4 linked regions of the Schizosaccharomyces pombe genome follow. The protein of the gene in region 1 interacts with the protein of each later gene in a pairwise test. Each region holds a gene or a part of one and is shown in the gene's direction. Other genes may lie near its edges. The genes, in order: pil1, spg4, pwp1 and mss51.

What was found.
Region 2: the proteins of pil1 (region 1) and spg4 interact in a two-hybrid assay, tested with the Schizosaccharomyces pombe proteins (one large-scale study listed by BioGRID).
Region 3: the proteins of pil1 (region 1) and pwp1 interact in a two-hybrid assay, tested with the Schizosaccharomyces pombe proteins (one large-scale study listed by BioGRID).
Region 4: the proteins of pil1 (region 1) and mss51 interact in a two-hybrid assay, tested with the Schizosaccharomyces pombe proteins (one large-scale study listed by BioGRID).

What each region holds. Positions count from the first base shown.
Region 1 is NC_003421.2:346,937-351,683, forward strand, and holds pil1 (lipid binding protein Pil1), read left to right. Parts: upstream 1-1,622; 5' UTR 1,623-2,235; coding exon 2,236-3,291; 3' UTR 3,292-4,229; downstream 4,230-4,747. UniProt on the Schizosaccharomyces pombe protein: Negative regulator of cell wall integrity (CWI) in unstressed cells, probably by inhibiting protein kinase ksg1/ppk21 activity and regulating their downstream CWI pathways pck2-MAP kinase pathway and protein kinase gad8 pathway.
Region 2 is NC_003424.3:3,479,869-3,485,164, forward strand, and holds spg4 (AAA domain-containing protein), read left to right. Parts: upstream 1-1,688; 5' UTR 1,689-2,040; coding exon 2,041-4,266; 3' UTR 4,267-4,737; downstream 4,738-5,296. Other genes in the region: tps1 (alpha,alpha-trehalose-phosphate synthase (UDP-forming)), read left to right, coding at 1-987; hrb1 (RNA-binding and mRNA export factor), read left to right, coding at 4,810-4,830, 4,868-5,197.
Region 3 is NC_003423.3:2,162,141-2,166,503, forward strand, and holds pwp1 (WD repeat protein), read left to right. Parts: upstream 1-1,977; 5' UTR 1,978-2,137; coding exon 2,138-3,688; 3' UTR 3,689-3,856; downstream 3,857-4,363. Other genes in the region: SPOM_SPBC1711.15C (uncharacterized protein), read right to left, coding at 1-71; ATP-dependent RNA helicase Prp16, read left to right, coding at 4,119-4,363.
Region 4 is NC_003424.3:4,160,083-4,164,152, reverse strand, and holds mss51 (splicing suppressor Mss51), read left to right. Parts: upstream 1-2,000; 5' UTR 2,001-2,164; coding exon 2,165-3,301; 3' UTR 3,302-3,555; downstream 3,556-4,070. Other genes in the region: deg1 (tRNA-pseudouridine synthase), read right to left, coding at 1-1,353; phosphatidylserine decarboxylase Psd2, read right to left, coding at 3,775-4,070. UniProt on the Schizosaccharomyces pombe protein: Has a dual role in the assembly of cytochrome oxidase subunit 1 (cox1). It has a regulative function on cox1 synthesis, acting as a translational activator specific for the cox1 mRNA, and it also binds to newly synthesized cox1 protein.

The sequences.
Region 1 (4,747 bases):
CCAATAGACGATCGCTTCTTGCGGCGTTTGGTTATCGTGCGCGCGCACCGTAGGGAAAGGAGGGAAGCAAGGCAGCGGCGGCAGAGCAGGAGTCTAGTACAGTAAGGCAGCGAGGAGGGAAAAGAAGATTTCCCATATGTCGGGAAGAGAGATTTGAGAGAGGGAGAGAAGTACGGACGGTCGGAGGAGCAGGAGAGAGAAGAAGAGCCATGAAAAAGGAAGTGAAAGTAGAAGGGAACTAGTAGGAAAATAGTAGGGAAATAATAGAGGTATTCTTTTGTTTATTTCGTTTAATTTTATTTTATTTCGTTTTATTTTATTTCGAGTATTCTTTTGTTTATTTATTTTCTTTCGTTTTATTTTATTTCCTTTTGTCGCTCTTTTTTCTCTCTTCTCGTCGCTACTCTAGCATTTCTAGCTATTATCAGTACATCGCCATGCCATGTGCCATGCAATGTTATGCTATGCTATGCCATGCCATGCCCGTTACACTCCCGTGTTCCATTTGGTGCTCCATTCCCGTATTGCCAAAGATAGATATTTCCGTATTCACTCGATCCTCTTCATCTTCCGAATAAACTGATAAAATTGTTGCAAGTATCTAATACTCATTCATAGTCAGCGTCGGCATTTTCTTAAACTCGTTTACAATCATTTCTTCTGAATTCATCTAATTTCTTCTGAACTCATTTCATCTTTCTTTTCTTCATTCTTACTACACTCATATCCCGTTTCACTCACAACTCACTTCTTCACAATATCACTCACTCTCTTTCGCTACTTCTTTTCTCTCTCTCACTTTTCCATTTCTTGTCACCTCGTTCCTTGTTACCTACCCTTGTTGCCTCTAACTTTTACCTTTTCTCTATTCTATTCTCTTTTGTTTTAACCTTTTTTTTTATTTTTGTTTCATCCATATTTATCCATTTATATTATCTTTCTTTCTATATTTATCTTTATCGGTCCATTTATCTTTTGTTTTTTCTCTTGTCTCTCTCTCTCTCTCTCTTACCTTTCTTTCTCTTCTCTACTCTACTCTACTCTACTTTACACTACACTATTCTATCCTAAGCTACTCCATCCTCCTCTACACTATCCTATCCTATCCCATTCTCCTCTGTCCTATCCTCCTCCGTTTTATCCCCTCTATCTCTATTCATTTCTCTACTCTATTTCCTTTTTACCCACTTTGCCTTCCTCTGCTCTATCCTTCTTCAACACACCCATCGTCACTTCTCCCTCTTCTCTCTTTACCACATCCTACCACTCCCCGGCCTATTCATTCTTTTCACTCTCTTTCTTTCTTTCACAACGACGACGCGTTTGTTTACCCCATCGGCCCTTCAACACTCGCTGCCCCCCTCCCCTCCCCCTTCAGCTCCAGTTAACGCGGTGCGCCAAACGCATTGGTCAACATCGCTATCCAGAAAGAAATTCGGTTTTATATTATCGCGAATGGGAACGTCATGTTTACGTGATAGAAGGAATGGACATATCTATGGCAACTGTGGCCAGCAAGCTGACCAAATGATGTTTACCTACTCTTGTTCACTACGGCAAGTGATGATATCATTTTCCCACCTTAGCTTTGTATATATAGACTGGCTCGCTCATTTACCGATACACCTTTATCCATACTCACGTTTTCATTGACTTTAGTCAAAACTTTCTTTTCTTTTTTATCCTTTAACTATACTATACTTTATTATAGTATCCTTTCTCATACCATAGGATATAACATACCTTGGGATATATATATATATATAATCTTTTTTTTTTTTATATATACCCCATCACATTTTTGTTATACCCAGAGAATAGCCGCTAAGCAAAAGTTAAGCTAAGCTAAGTGAATTTGAAAGAAATCCAAAAGGAAAATTTCCTCGTTTTTCCCTTTCCCCAAAAAAAAATCCCGACTCCTTTCCATTTTTTCATATAGTCGACAAATTTTTTTATTTTTGGGCTTTTTTTATACACACTCTCTCTATCTAACTATCTATCCTATTTAACTATATACCCACGAAATTTCGTATCGCCCTTTGGTAAAGTGTTAAACATTTTTCGTCCTACTCTTTTTTTTTTACTTATAACTCGTCCTCTCTCTACTAAATTATTCTCACTATAATTGTTCTTATTAGTATCATCACATACTAATATACTACTACTACTACCACTTATTTTTATTATTACTACCATCTCTTCTTATTTACCCACATCTATTTCTATTTCTGCAAGATGATGAACCGTGCGTACTCTTTAAGAAACAGCCGTGCCCCTACGGCCTCACAATTGTTAAACCCCCCTCCTCCCTCCTCTTCCACTCGTAGTGGTCGTTTGTTTGCCCCCTTGAGTCATACCATGCGTATCAACCACGCTGCCACCTTCACCCCTGACTTGGCTAAGCGTTTGGCTGTCTTGGTCAAGATGGAAAAGAACGTGATGCGCAGTATGGAGGTCACCATCCGTGGCCGTCGTGATTGTGCTCGCCAACTTTCCTACTGGGGTGAGGACTGCGATGACGATATCAGCGACGTCACCGACAAATTGGGTGTCTTGTTTTACGAGATGGCCGAGTTGGAGAACTACTTGATCGATCGTTATGACCAATACCGTATGACGTTGAAGTCCATCCGTAACATCGAGTCCTCTGTCCAACCCTCTCGTGAGAAGAAGCAAAAGCTCTTGGATCAAATCTATGCTCTTAAGCATAAGGATCCTGAATCCCCTCGCTTGGTCACCATGGAGCAAGAGCTTGTTCGTGAGGAGGCTGCCTGTTTGGTTGCCGAGGCTCAACTTTCCAACACCACCCGTGAAAAGTTCAAGCAAGCCATGACCTTCAACTTGGATGCCCTCCACGAGCATGCCGAGAAGCTCAACCTCATTGCCACCTATGGCAGACATTTGTTGAACTTGATTGACGACACCCCCGTCACTCCCGGTGAGGCTCGTCCTGCCTACGATGGTTATGAGACTTCCCGCCAAATCGTCATGGATGCTGAGCACGCCTTGAGCTCTTGGGTTCCCAGCCAACCCGCCGTCAACTTTGTCAAGCCTCAAATCGAGGATGATGCCCAAAGTGACGCTCGTTCCTGGAACGAGTATGAGGCTCAAGGTGAGCCCGTCCCCGTTGAGCAAGTCACCCACTTACAAGACGACGTTCAATCCGACACTAGCGAGATCATTGAGAACGAGCCTGGCATGCACCCTCATGTCCATGCTGAGCGTATGTCTCGCATTGCTTCTGAGTCTAGCGATGCCGTTCCTCAGCAAACCGCCGTCCAGGTTGCTTAAAAAAACTCTTTACTTTTTTTCTATTTGTCGTCGTGGAGAGGGAAATTGCAGTGTCAAGCGAAAATAAAAAAGAAATTTCTTGAAAGCTTATCGTAATCCCATTTGGGCTTTTTCGTGACTTTTTCCTTTTTGGATGGATTGATGATCCCAGAAACAATCGTTACTGACAAACGATAATGGGTTTATGATATTCTTCCTTCGTTTGTCGACTCTTTTTTACTACTCTTTTCCCCAGGTCCTTGTTTGGTCATAATTTATTTTCTTTATTAAAGAATAATTGTATGTGTCATCTGGTTCCTTTCTCTCTTTTCTTTTGTCATAGAAGGAAGAAGGAAGGTGGTGTATGATTGAATTGCTTCGACGAAATTGGCGTTTAAAAAAAAAGACAGGCTAAAGGCATTGCAAATTCCACACCTCTCGTTTTTTATAAAGAGTTATGAAAAAATGATGCGGACGGATAAAAGTTTGTTGAAGGTGTGGTGGTATCTATCTATCTATCTATCTATATTCCCTTTGTGGACGGAATAGAGAAAGATTTGTTTGATTGAATGAAAGGGGTTAAAAAAACGTCAAAAGTTTTCAATATTTGTTGGTTGTGTTTTTGTTATCCATGGAAAAAAAATTTTTTAAACTGTCTTTTTTTCTCCCCTTTTTCCTTTTATTTTATTTTATTACAATCGTGGATATATGTTGCTTTGAGAATTCAATCGACCGAGAGTTTGATTGGTTTATTTTTTTCGTCAGTGACAGGTATGAGCTGAAAGAAAACTTAATTTAATAAGCTGGCGTGCGCGAAGGAGAGCATGTTAGACGGAAACCCTAGTTTGCTCATAGCTAAGAAACTGTTCAATTTTTACATAGTTATTATAAGGCGGAGATGTCGCAATTATTTTATTATTATACCTTTTATTATAATTATTATTTTATTTGTTTTTATATGTTGCTGCTATTGCTATCGGAGGAAGAAAAAGACTCTAGACTGGCTTGGCTTGGCTGGCTGGTGGTGTGAGAGGGGGAATTTGAAGAAAGTGTGTTTTGCTTTTAGTGGGTTTAGCGTAGCTATTATTTTGTTGGTAGTATGATGGATATTTGTGCCAGCTTGGCTAGTCTTTTGCACGTGAAGGATGATGTACTTCGTTGCAAAGAGCCTTTTTTTTTCTTTTTGAGGTAGGTAGATTTGATTAATCTTGAGAATAAGAAACCATAATATGATTGAGAAAAGATGGAAGGCGAGATGGGTAAATTGCAAGGGTAGAATAGTAAAGTGTATTATGAGTTGGAAGTTAGTTAGTATGTTATTATTATTAAGAAGTAATTATTAGAATTAGCAATGCAAGTAGTAGGAATCGATGTATTAGGAGGAGCAGAATTAGGAGTAATAAGCGAATACTTTAGAAGAGGAGTCAATGTCGAAAAAAGAGAAAACAAGGTAAATTATTAACGCCTTTCCAAAATT
Region 2 (5,296 bases), on another chromosome or scaffold:
CACACTCCTTTCCCAAGTAGCGAAATCTATCGTGTTTTACCCGTTAGAAACGAAATCCTTGAAGGTGTACTCAACTGTGATCTCGTTGGCTTCCATACCTACGACTATGCCCGTCACTTTTTGTCTGCATGCTCTCGTATCCTTAATCTTAGCACACTACCTAACGGTGTGGAATACAATGGTCAAATGGTCAGCGTCGGCACCTTCCCCATCGGTATTGATCCCGAAAAGTTCTCTGATGCTCTGAAGTCTGACGTGGTAAAGGATCGCATTGCAAGCATCGAACGTAGACTACAAGGCGTTAAGGTGATTGTGGGTGTCGATCGTTTGGACTACATTAAGGGTGTTCCCCAAAAATTCCATGCCTTTGAAGTGTTCTTAGAACAATACCCTGAATGGGTTGGAAAGGTCGTGTTGGTTCAAGTTGCCGTTCCTTCTCGTCAAGATGTCGAAGAGTATCAGAATCTTAGAGCCGTTGTCAATGAGCTTGTTGGCCGTATTAACGGTCGTTTTGGTACTGTTGAATATACACCTATTCATTTCTTACATAAAAGTGTTCGCTTTGAAGAGCTGGTTGCTCTGTATAACGTTTCAGACGTTTGTTTAATTACCTCAACTCGTGATGGTATGAATCTTGTTTCATACGAGTACATTTGCACTCAACAAGAGAGACATGGTGCCCTAATTCTTAGTGAATTTGCCGGTGCTGCCCAGTCACTCAATGGTAGTATTGTAATTAATCCATGGAACACGGAGGAATTAGCAAACTCCATTCATGATGCCCTCACTATGCCGGAGAAACAACGTGAGGCTAATGAGAATAAATTATTCCGATATGTTAATAAGTATACCAGTCAATTCTGGGGTCAAAGCTTTGTCGGTGAGTTGCAACGCATTCAACACTACAGCCACCCTCACCCCAGAAGAACGAATCCGATTTTACGAACCAAGTCTGCTCAAGTGCTGTCGATGAATTCTAGCTCGTAAGAGTGCATTAGCAACACTATTGGTTTGTTTTCCCATTAATCAAGTTGTTGCACTTTTACACTTTTACTTCTATAATTTCATTCTCAAAGCAATTAAATCATTTGGTCATATATATTCGATGAGTTAGCAGTTTACGATACAAAGGATGTTGTTTATACTGGCACTTTTTTTATTGAGATGAATTCACAATACATGATATAATGCAACGTTCTTTAATGATTTTTTTATATGCAGAAATTCCAATCAGCTTATGGTGGTTTGAGTATTTGCTGATGATGGAAATTTGTTAGACAAGTATTCGACAATTTTTTTATGAAGTGTTGTTCTTTGTAATTTCCTTTGGTTTTATATTGAACATGATGGCAAAAAGAATAAATGTTTTGTTATTTAACCTTAAAAATCCTGTAACATTCAATTAATATTATTTTTATACATTTTTTTTGGGATACACGTGGAAGATTGTGACTAATATATCTTATAAGTAAGGATGAGAATATGCTGGACTGGTGAACGGAGTTGGACCAAGCAAATATTAAGATTAATAGTGAAATGGTTTTAAAGGTATTATTTATTGTAAGTAAACTAATTTTCAATTCTCATATAGCAAAAAGAGTTTTTTTGTGTAAATGATGAAGATGCGTCATTTACCCATCATTATTCTTCGCTACACCAAAACCAACCGTAAAGATTTAAAACTCAACAAGCACAGTGCGTATATCATAGAACTTCTATTCACGCATATAATTAGTGCTGTTGCTAGTTTTGTATTTATTTTTGTAGACTTTATCAAGTTTTCCGACAAAATCGTGGTTTTAGTGAGAAATTTTATCTTTAACTTTGTATCACTATATCTACGATTTGTATTTGCATGCCGCATTCTGCTTGTACGAAAACAATATTTAATAAGGTAATAGGATATAAAAGGAGAAGTGTAGTTTGTGCACTTCAGCCAATATAGAAAGAGAATAACGTTTCCAATCGAGCCGATTTAACCTCTTTCCATTGAAAGGTAATTGTTTTTAATCAGTTGTAGACGTTAAAGAATGCACAAAAATGAGCCTTGAAGACTGCTATAACGTCACACAGTCATATGCCGCCGTTGCAATTCATAAAGAGCAGACTGCTGACTATGTGGAGGCTATCGCTTTATTTCAAAAGGCCAAGCGGAACATTCTCATGAATCCAGAGTTTAAGTATGCGAGGGAACGCTTACACGTGATGGATTATGAAGATAGACATTATGTGGAAACATTACTCTGCATGTTGGAGCAGTTGACCATTCGAATTGAGTTCCTTACCAAAGAGATTGCGCAACAAGAAGCTGCTTATAAGGATATTCAAAATACACAAAAGTCACTTGTAACACAATCTTCTACTGGTAGCGCTAATGTTGCTTATATAAGTGGAAATGGTCCTGGCGATCGCTCATTTATCGATGATGGTAACTATAGTGCGTCTTCTTTTGAGCGTCAAAATAGAACAGCTCCTTTACAATCTAAAGTGACAACGGCATCCTTAAAACCTAATATTCCGCGAACATCTATGTCCTCTTCACCTACAGCTTCGCGGACTTCGTTGCGTAAAGGCGCTGGTGAACTAGAAACACATAGCGCTGTTAAATCTGCTAAAAAGGCCAGTGTCAAGAGTAAATCAGTGCTTCCTCCAAGTAAATCGCTTGCTAGGACTGGACTTCCAGCTGAAGTCTCTACCCAGAACAATGCCAATCGAGCAGCTCTATTGGCTTGGGGATCTTTGAATTCATCTAAGCCTAAGCATGCTCTCCCGCCATCATACATATCATCGGAAGCAGCGCAGGCATCTCGATCATCGTTTCAGGTTGAGCGTCATCGTCCAACTCCCGATAACTCCGCCGTTATTGAAGCTGCCCGCCGAACTTACTCTTCTATTTCCTCCTCTTCCTCACCCTTCAAAAAGAAAACGCAATCCCATCTCCCTAATCGTACCACTGAAGTACCTTCTATATCAAAACAGTTATCAAAGTCATCTACCTCAATCGCAACCGTCGCGCCATCTCTCGCTTCTGTTTCGTCAGTTACAAAATCGCCATCTCCCACTCCTCAGTCAGCTCCACGAGCTCAATCTGCTTCCACTGAAACTGCGCAAGATCTGGATTTCCTTACACCGCCACGTTTATCTGTGAACAACCCTTTTCTGAGTGATCTCTATCCAGCTTCCGAACAGGGGCTTTCTTCCTGTGAAGAGAAAGATTCGCCGGTTGATGGCGATGAATTTTTCAACCACACAAACGAAGAAGAGATTATTGAAAAGCAGTTTCAATCCACATCTATCTCTGCAATGACTTCTGAAAAGCAAGAACAAATTCTGCGTGAATGTCCAGACATCGACGAAGAGCTTGGTAAGAGTATACTTCGAGAAATCGTGGTTTCGGGTGATGAAGTTCATTGGGATGATATTTCTGGGTTAGAATTTGCTAAGCACTCTTTAAAAGAGGCAGTGGTGTATCCGTTCTTGCGTCCAGATTTGTTCCAAGGCTTGCGGGAACCAGCTAGGGGGATGCTTCTTTTTGGGCCTCCAGGAACTGGTAAGACAATGCTTGCGCGAGCTGTTGCTACTGAATCCCGTTCTGTCTTTTTTTCTATTTCAGCTTCTAGTTTAACATCCAAGTTTTTGGGTGAATCCGAAAAACTTGTTCGTGCTCTCTTCACTTTAGCAAAAAAGCTGTCTCCAAGCATCATTTTTGTTGACGAAATTGATTCACTGCTTTCTGCTAGAAGCAGTGATGGAAATGAGCATGAAACATCGAGAAGAATAAAAACAGAATTCTTAATTCAGTGGTCTTCGCTTGCAAGAGCAGCTGCATCTCGACAAACCGCCGATCACCCAAGAGTTCTAGTGCTTGCCGCTACCAATTTGCCTTGGTGTATCGACGATGCTGCTCGTAGACGATTTGTCCGTCGTACCTACATTCCCCTCCCTGATGAGACCACTCGTCGCTTACATTTAAATAACCTTTTAAAATATCAGAAGCATTCTCTTTCCTTAGAGGATATTGAGGCTATTGTGAAAGCAACCGAATATTACTCTGGCTCTGATTTGACAGCATTGGCAAAAGACGCAGCTATGGGGCCTTTGCGAAGTTTAGGTGAGTCTTTGCTATTCACGAAAATGGAGTCGATTAGGCCGATTAATTTAGATGACTTTAAAACTAGTATCAAGGTAATCCGGCCTAGTGTGAACTTGCAAGGGCTGGAACGATATTCAGAATGGGACAAAGAGTTCGGATCCCAAGGGCATTGAGTCTGTCTTCTTATTTAAAATTCCTAGCCTGATACCGATTTTTTTGGTAATCACGTTGAAAATTTATTTATTGTCTTTTAATACATGGCTTGTGCAAACTTATGATTATAACTAATAAGGACAACTTTTGCCTCAAGGAATTATTCATGATGATAATAATGGTGCTGTACCAAAAGCCTTTTTGTTTACTCCTAATATATTCGTTTGTCTCTTTTTTGTTGATACAATTTATGCACAGTCTTTGAATTTTTCAAACACTTAATATTAACTGAGGTTATCTCTAACCCTAGTTATTGTTTGAGTTTCCATTTTTATTACGACTCATTTACAAACAACTAAAACTCCTTACTATGATTAATTAGTCAGTACATGTCAATATTTATAATTTAAATGTTTACAGTTTTTTTATTCTATTGTTCTTTTAGCGAATCTAAGAGTTTACAGTATATCACTTACGAAATTATATTGCAGTTACACTATAGAAGTCAAGTTGTTGGGATGCTTTAATTATGTGAAGATGCACACTCAGCTTATGCTCTTGCGATGCCTAAACCTATAGAATGGGTATGATAACTATTGATTGATTTAGCTGATCAAATAGAATGAATTTGATTCAGGAATGGGTAGTAAGTTGGATGTGTCAAGTTCCTTGAATTCATCGTCTTCCAATATGGATCGTGACAGATCGGAGTCTCCGAAGCGACATGTCAACGGAAGCAATTCATTGAAACGTGGCTTGCATTTTGATGGAGAGCACACTGAAAGAGACCCTCACTTGGGAAATGGCCAAAAGTACACTCAACAAGAGCGTCGCGTGTATGTTGGTAATTTGTCATATCAAGTTCGTTGGTTTGAGTTGAAAGAGTTTATGGGACAAGTTGGCAATGTTCTTAATTGTGAGATTTTGAATCTTCCGAATGGATTATCGAAGGTAAGTTTGCTTCATAGAGGGTGGGTTTCATGCGACTAGTAAATCATTGTCTATTTAAATTGTAACGTTGAATCGATCCAATTGAACGTTACTTTTAAA
Region 3 (4,363 bases), on another chromosome or scaffold:
AGATCAGCCTCATTTAAAAGCTTTTCTATGATATCAATTAAAATTAAACACCAATCAAACCGTTTTTTCATAGTGAGCGATGCAATATATTCACTTTCAGCACATATTAAACTTGCCTAAACGCTGTTAGTATGCAATGAGCAAAAACTGTTGATAGACTTATGAAAGCCCAAATGATTGAATACTAAAACCCCTTGAGTTTACAAAGATTTCTCAGAATGAATTAGCTTGGTCACCGAGCAGAACTCTCAGACGGCACTTCCTATATAAAATGTTAAGCTTCTTCTTTTGTCATCACAATAGAATTCAAGGAATTTTCAGTTTCTTTCATTTTTGAATACCTACCTAGTTGAAATTTTTTATAGACAGTCCTTTTTAAAAAACTTCAAAGATTTTTACGAAATTATCTATATGCACTAATATAGCTGTTTTCAGCGTTGATGGCACTACGTACGTTTAGCGGTTTGCCAAATTTATAGCTTCGAAACAACGTGACGGCTTTTATCAACTATACGAGAGTCGAGCTTATTAAACATAAGCTTTCGTTAAAAAAAAAAGATAAAAGCATGAATAAAGCTACATATTGTGATTTATGGATTGGTTTACTGGTTTTGCTCAAAATCATAGTAAAAGGGTAGTTTCCTATTGTTGTGTAATCGATAACTTTTTCTAACATTTTGCCCTTCTAAAACAACTTTTCATATTATAAGCTATTCGTTTTACTGTTTAAGTTTCAGTCCAAAAATTAAGACTAATTTAAGAAGAGAAAATTATAGGTGACTATTTGTTTCCTTGTGTTCGTTTGTTGTATAGCGAACTTTATAGATTACAGCAGTTAGAGCTGCGGCAAATTAGTTGACTTGTGTTCTTTGCAACATTAAACGAAAACAGCAGGCAATACACAAATATACGTCCGTAGCATTTATCGTACAAACTTTCTAACGAAGCTAGTATTGCAATTTTTCTCCATATAAAAATTCAATAAAATTAATTAATAAAATTCAAAGTATTGTTTTGTGTTTATTCAATCTTGAAATCATTTAAAAGTTAAGTAAAAACCAAAAATTCCAAACTCCATCTTAATGTGATGCTTCTGACACTCATATTGTTACCGCCCTTTTAATTCACTCAACTTAGTATTCTTATGCAACGTACTGTTAGAAGTGTTTACACTGTGTTGCGTGCGACTGATTTTATATGTTGGAAACAAATTTTAAGATCCATTAATTTTACTTAGACACCAGTGAGAACAAATACAAATATTAGAAAGACTAAAAAATTTAGTGACCGATGCTATTAGATTTCTCAAATAAATATTGTTATGTCAGCAATACTACACTACGCTATGATACACTACTTGCGTATCACTATATGTCACATGTTCTAATTATATATCGTACCATGTATGATACGATATTGAGATTGATCTTAATGATGATCTATTAAGATCTATATTATCTGAATAATATAAATAGAGCTACTGCTGAACTGAGGAACGAGGTTCAGTTATGAGCTATATTAGTGATAGGTAACATTATAACCCAGTTAATACAATACCTATTCTCAGTTGCTACTTATACAACCTGTGTATTGTAATATAATAGATCACAAGGAAAACTCACCGCAGTTCTACGTATCCTTAAATCAGATACCAAACTGCGTAGCTTACATGTTAGTTAGTTTAACATACCGCATACCGTTACATCGTAGCTCGTAAGAAATACTCGCCGTAGTTCAATGTATCATTAAACAGATACCAAATTGCGTAACTGACATTAACTTGAATTTACGATGAGTAAAAATACTTGTTGACGTAAATTAAGTTAACGCATTTAGTTTATCTACATGAACGTTATGGCCTTTTGGTCGAAGAAAAATGTTTTCTTAAGTTTTGAAATCTAATTTAACGCAGGTTTACGCTAAACGGTTAAATAACGTTTTTTGTAAGACACGAATATTTTCAGTTCTTCTTTTCCCAAGTAGCGGTGCACGATTTATGCCATTATTTACTCGTATCAATACGTTGACATTTACTTAATCTTTAAATTTTTAATCTCGTTTAGATCAAGAGTGGTGTGTTTTCTGGTTTAAACATTAAAGTAAAGATTTGCGGAGTAAATATTAAGAGAGGTGCAACATGTCAATAGTCTCGTCTGTGGCTTTTGTTCCTCGCGGTTATGCATCAGAGTTTCCCAAGAGTTACGATATTGATGAGATAGAGTATGAGCGAATTAATCAGCTTTCAAAGTTAAAGCTCGAGGATGCTCGAGCTGATCTCCAATCTTCTATGGAAGACTCAAATAAAGCCAATGGGAACGGTGAAGAAACTACAGATGGAGCAGAAGGGGTGTTGCAAACAAGTGAAGAGGTAGATGATGAATTGAAAGTATACAATTTGGATACTTACGATGACGATGAGGAGGAAGCTGAGACAGAAGGGCCCGCTGCTATGTTTAGCAACATTCGTGGATTGGCTTACCATGAAAATGGAGAAAAAGATCCATATATCACTATTGATCCTCAGGAACAGGACGATTTGGAAAGAGAGGAAATGCAAATATTACCAACAGACAGCCTTTTGCTAGCTGCGCGCACAGAAGATAACTTGTCCCACGTTGAAGTGTATGTATATGAGCCAACAGAGGAAAATCTTTACGTGCATCATGATTTTCTTCTCCCTACCTTTCCTCTGTGTCTCGAATGGCTAGATTATAAGGTGGGTACGTCTGACAACGCTCCTGGAAATTACGTTGCTGTCGGCACGTTTGATCCTGAAATTGAAATATGGGATTTAGACATCATTGATGCAGTTTACCCTGCAGCCGTGTTGGGTGCAGGTGCCTCTCAAGTCAACAAGAAAAAGAAGAAGTCTAAAAAAATAAATGATAGTTATCACACAGATGCTGTTCTTGCTCTTTCTTCGAACCGAAATGCTCACAATCTTTTGGTTTCTGGTTCTGCAGATACCACACTAAAGTTGTGGGATTTGAGCACATGCAATTGTGTCAAATCTTTCACGTATCATTCTGACAAAGTTTCTTGCTTAGATTGGTATTCCAAAGCTCCATCCGTATTATTGTCAGGTAGTTATGATAAAACTGCAAAAATAGCTGACCTTCGCCTTGAAGAAGCTCCATCGAGTTTTCAAGTTACTAGCGATGTTGAAAATGTTGCCTGGGATCAACATAGCGAAAACAACTTTTTCATTGGCACTGATAATGGCATAGTTTATTATTGCGATGCTAGAAATCTCTCAAAGTCCGTTTGGCAATTGCAAGCCCATGATGGACCTATTTCTTGTCTCAGTGTTAATCCTTCGGTTCCTTCTTTTGTAGCCACAGGCTCCACTGATAGAGTGGTTAAACTCTGGAACACTTCCGATAGTTCACCGAAGATGGTTGTTTCTAGAGATTTGGATGTTGGACGTGTGTTTACTTGCTCCTTTACTACGGACGAATCAACTGCTTTCCATCTAGCTGCCTCCGGAAGCAAAGGAGTCGTTCGTGTCTGGGACACTGCAACTAATCCTGGTGTTCGAAAAGCGTTTGAAAGTAGAGTTACTGAGGAAGTTACTAAAAAAGAGCGCATCGTTCAGTTAGAAGACAGAGGTGCCGGGGAGGACTCTTCTGATGATGATGACTATGAAGATATAGAAGACGATGATGATCAAGATGCTGAGATGTCCTAATTCTCTTGATTTATTTTAAGATTATAGCTTCATGTTTTCAAAAACTCTCCTAAGAGGCCGCTTCATGGGTTTAAAGGGCTCACTAATTGTATAGAGGATTTTTTGCATAATTCAATATTTGGAAAAAAGGGATCAGGTTAGTTACAATAAATTTCATTTGATTTGGTGTATGATGGTCTTTAAACTTTAGTAAATTCATCCACATTAGTGGAGTAGCAAATGTATGCATTAAGTGTATATTGGGTTTACCGTTACTTGGTAAATTTTGCCTAACAATTCTTTTAATTCATATGACAATTTTTATTTAAACATTGAAGTACTGATAAATTGTTAATTGTCAATTACTCAGGTTCATGATTTTGCACCTTTGGGGGGCCGGAGGGTCTGAGTAAGTTCGCCTTCCGCCAGCAACCTTATTGATTTAGTAGGTATGCTTTCACATAATCAAAATGATTTGCTATTTACGAAGTTAATAGATAAATTAACTGATTATATGTCCAGTAAAGATGCAGCTACATCGCTTGCCAGTCGAGTTTTGACAATTGCCAAGGGTAGCTCGTCCAGCACCGAGTTTTCTAATGCATTACATACATTTGGACGATTTTCCGATAATGACAGCGTCCTTATTTACGATTTATGCAAATCTATAATTGGTTTAGAGACAAATTTGGGGAT
Region 4 (4,070 bases), on another chromosome or scaffold:
CTATTTAATATTTTCACTCTTCACGTCACTGTCTTTTAAACCTTTTTTACGTTTATATCTTTCATTGACGACCTCCACTGATTCCTGACGTTGTCTAGAAAGAATTGGGATGTACTTTTTTGTTCGCTTCAGCAATCCTTCACCAACGTTCATAGTACTGCTTGACTCTTCCGATTTGCCATATCTTTTTACATTATGATCTGCTATGTCAAGCATAAACGAAGCTATCTGCTCTCGAATACGTAGACTATGCCACTGATGATATATGGTTTCATATGTATGTTTAGCGATACGAGGAGCAGTCGTAGGACTATCCGTAGGTAGTGTCCATTCAATATTATCAAAGTCACAGTCGTACAAAATCAAAGGATACTCACTTGCCATATCATAAATTGGCTTAGTAGGGACCTTTTTAATATCCAAAAGATCATTGATGAGAGAGGCCGGCTCAAGCTTTTGACCAATTAAAAATAGAATGGCCATCATACATCGTACCTGATGCCATAAAAATGCAGTTCCTTGTAGGTCAAAAGCGTAAAGACCGGTACTGGGATCAATGCAAATAACCTTTGAACTGAGAATTCGACGGTGATAATTTGTAATTTGTTTAGAAGCATCTATTTTGCAAAAATTTCGAAAGTCATGCTCACCTAGATAAAGTGCTGCGGCTTCATTCATTCGATCAATGTCAAGAGAACCACCGGGATAATCCTTAGTAAACAAGTATTTATAATGACGCTGTTTACAGGAAAATCGAGCATCAAAGCCTTCTGGTGGAAATGCATAGCCAGTAATACGTATATCTGCGGGCAACAGGCGATTCAATACATCACAATATATGATAGGTCTTCTTTCTGAATGTCGTACATTTAATGATATAACCTGACCCATGGCTGAAACTCCCTTATCAGTACGTCCACATCGACTAAAGGAACATGATGAAGGATCAGTGATGAGATGAGCTCTCAACAGCGCTTCAAACACCTTTCCTTCAACAGTGGGCAAAGGAGTCGGTTCTAACTGGTAGGCAAGACCATTGTAATTCCAACCACAATAGGCAAATTTAAAAGCAACAAAAACTGTTTTTTCTAGTTGAAACGGTCTGACAGGTTTCAGTTTTGGAAGACTACTTGCGTCCTGAAGCGCATGTTGCAAAACTAGTTCTTGGCTCAGATGCTGGGGTTCTATTTCATTTCCATTATCCAATTTGTTTTTATTTTTAATTACTTCATTTTTCCCCTCAATTTCTTTATTGGGAAGTGAATTTGTATTTTTTTGCAATTTCCCGTCCAATTCTAAAATTCTGGATATTAGCTGGTCTCGAGACCATCCAGCATATTTGGAGGCGGGCATTCGAAGGATTTTAGAAAATTGAAAAATCTTGCCTGAATTATATTGCCAATTTAATTACTGCCTTTGACGAGGTCAGGTGGCAGACGAATAGGTTCGCAAGGCTCTGATAATTAATGACTTGCTTGTCATAAGAGGCAGACATTTTCGCAGTAAAGTTATAAATCATCTATGTAACATTGAGAATTTATCAGATATATTTTTAGTTGCTCATTAGTACAACAGCTTTGGGATTCTGTATGGTCAGTTTGCAGTCTTGTTGGGCCAGCTGGAACTGTTACTAAAATATTGAGTTCACTTTACATTACGAGCAATGAAAATTATAGAAGCTTAGATTAACACAGCTACTTTCGAGATGATTCGTATTCCTTATAGTTGCATTGTAGACTTCCAATAAAGAAAGTGCATTTCCCGTTATGCAATTGATTTACTAGATAGTTCTTTAATATCAACATTATTGAAAATCACCTCTTTGTTGAGTCAACTCAATACTTAATATTTTTTTAAAGAATAAAATTCGCTACTGAATGTCGGTTGCTAATGAACAAAGCAATTGCTTCTACGAACTAATTTGTTAATTTTTTTTACTAAGCATTTCAATAGTTTGCCTTGTTAACGTATTTTTTATGTTCCTTGACATTTTTAATTTTAGTTTCTTCGTCTGCTACTAAACACGTTCACCTAAATCAATACTTGTTAAATTTAGCTGCAACACCGACATAAAAATTTATTTCATTACCTATAGTTACATTGAAACCGGTAGAAGGTTGTTTTTTGGTTCAAGAGTGACGTTTCGCTTATATTTTTTTTACTTATGTCGTTTTTAAAAAATCTCTTCAAGAAGAAATCCCCAACTCATGAATTATTCCATCCTTTATCGCGTTCTCCCTTAACGGCTCTTCGCCGTCGCTCTGAGCATATCAAACAAGTCTATCGGTGTCCAATTTCGGGAAAGTCAGTGGAATATGAGTGTCCTGAATCTGGATTTCCTACTCATTGTAATAGAACTCATTGGGAACAGGACAAGATTCACCAATCCCTTATCCCAAAACTACGCCAAATTAATGAAGACTATCATGACTTAGCACGACCAAACCCTTTGCCGGAACTACTCAAACTTCCTGGACCCATGGAAGAAGATGAAGTAGTTTCTCTTCTGTCATGGGATTCATTCTTCTATACCCGCGATTTCCCAAAGTTCCAATCGTCTAGAACTGCTAGACATATTACTAGTTTATTAACATATCCCATGTCAATCGGCGCTATCCTTCACAAGAATTCTCCTTATAATTTAAAAAATGGGTTAACTCCCCAGGGTCTACAATCATTAACTGCTCTACGATATATGCTTCATCGTCCTTTGTCTGCTCAATCTACTGATCCCAGACCCACTAGAATTTTCGTTTTGGGTGCTACCAAAGAATGTTCATTACCACCATCAATTTGGTTACAAGGATTGAACTTTTTGTTCCCAGGTCGTTTATTTCAATTGCATTTTATCGGACCTGAAGTTGTTGTTCCTTCTAAGCAACCCAATTTGCCTTCCCCACTCAGCCTTCATTTTCATCAGGATTACTACCACAATTTGCATAGAGTTGGAGCCTTTGAGCCTTTTGACCCCTACTATGATACTTTTTTTCTTCCGATGCCTCTTATAAGTCATCCACTTTATTCTTCATCGTGGATTCCGACACTTCACGATTTGGTATCGACTCGTTGCTCTGTATGGCTCACAAGTCCTTCATCTCAAAGAACAACCAAAGATTTGGAAGTTCTTAATAATGTTTTGAAAGATTCAATTGAGCCCTTGTTATTGCCAACTGTTAATAAATTTGCCAGCTTAGGCTGGTCTGTTGATGATTCAAACCTTCATGAAGTTTATCACGCAAATCAAGAAGTATTTGGATTCAGAGCCCTTTATTATAATGTCCAAAATGTTTCCAAAGAGTAATTCTTGTCCGTTAAGTCGTCTACCATCTTCCAATTTCATATTCTAATCTAAAAGCAATCTATTAATGAATTTTAAGGTCCAAATTTTGGATTGTGAATAAACAAAATATTAGTATATATGTAATGATTATCAATTACGAATTTTGAAAAGAAGACATGCCACCTTATGTCAAAACAAGCTAACCATACTTATTTTTAAACATTTTCATTACTACTTTAAAGGTGTATCAATAAAATAAATTTATTGGGTGTCAATTCTTTAAATTGGAATGTAATTAAGTAAATAGTAACTATAATTATGGGTTTATAAACGCAATATCAATTTAAATAAAAAGAAGATCAAAAGCAAATGGGTTAATTTAATTAATTCATCACATACAAATGATTATTTAGAATACACACATTCTCATACTAACAATAACTTATATCAGGGATAATCCAGCGATTAATAAAAATTATCCCGATTTATCCTGTTTAGAGGGCCTCTCCAACACGAACATATTGGCCTTGATAAGTGGAAAACTCAAAGTCGGCAGGTGCTTCGAATACCAAAACAACGGTACTTCCGAGTTGAAACCCACCAACTTGTTCGCCACGACTAACTGGCATACCGTCTAAAACAGGAGAAGCGTTCTTGTAAACTGCTTCTTGAAACGTACCTAATGACTTCTTCCGTAAGACGAGGCGATTGGTAGATAAAGTAGGATCACAATTAATGACAATGCTACCCACATTGGTTGCACCTACAGGAATCATACTCATAAATCCAT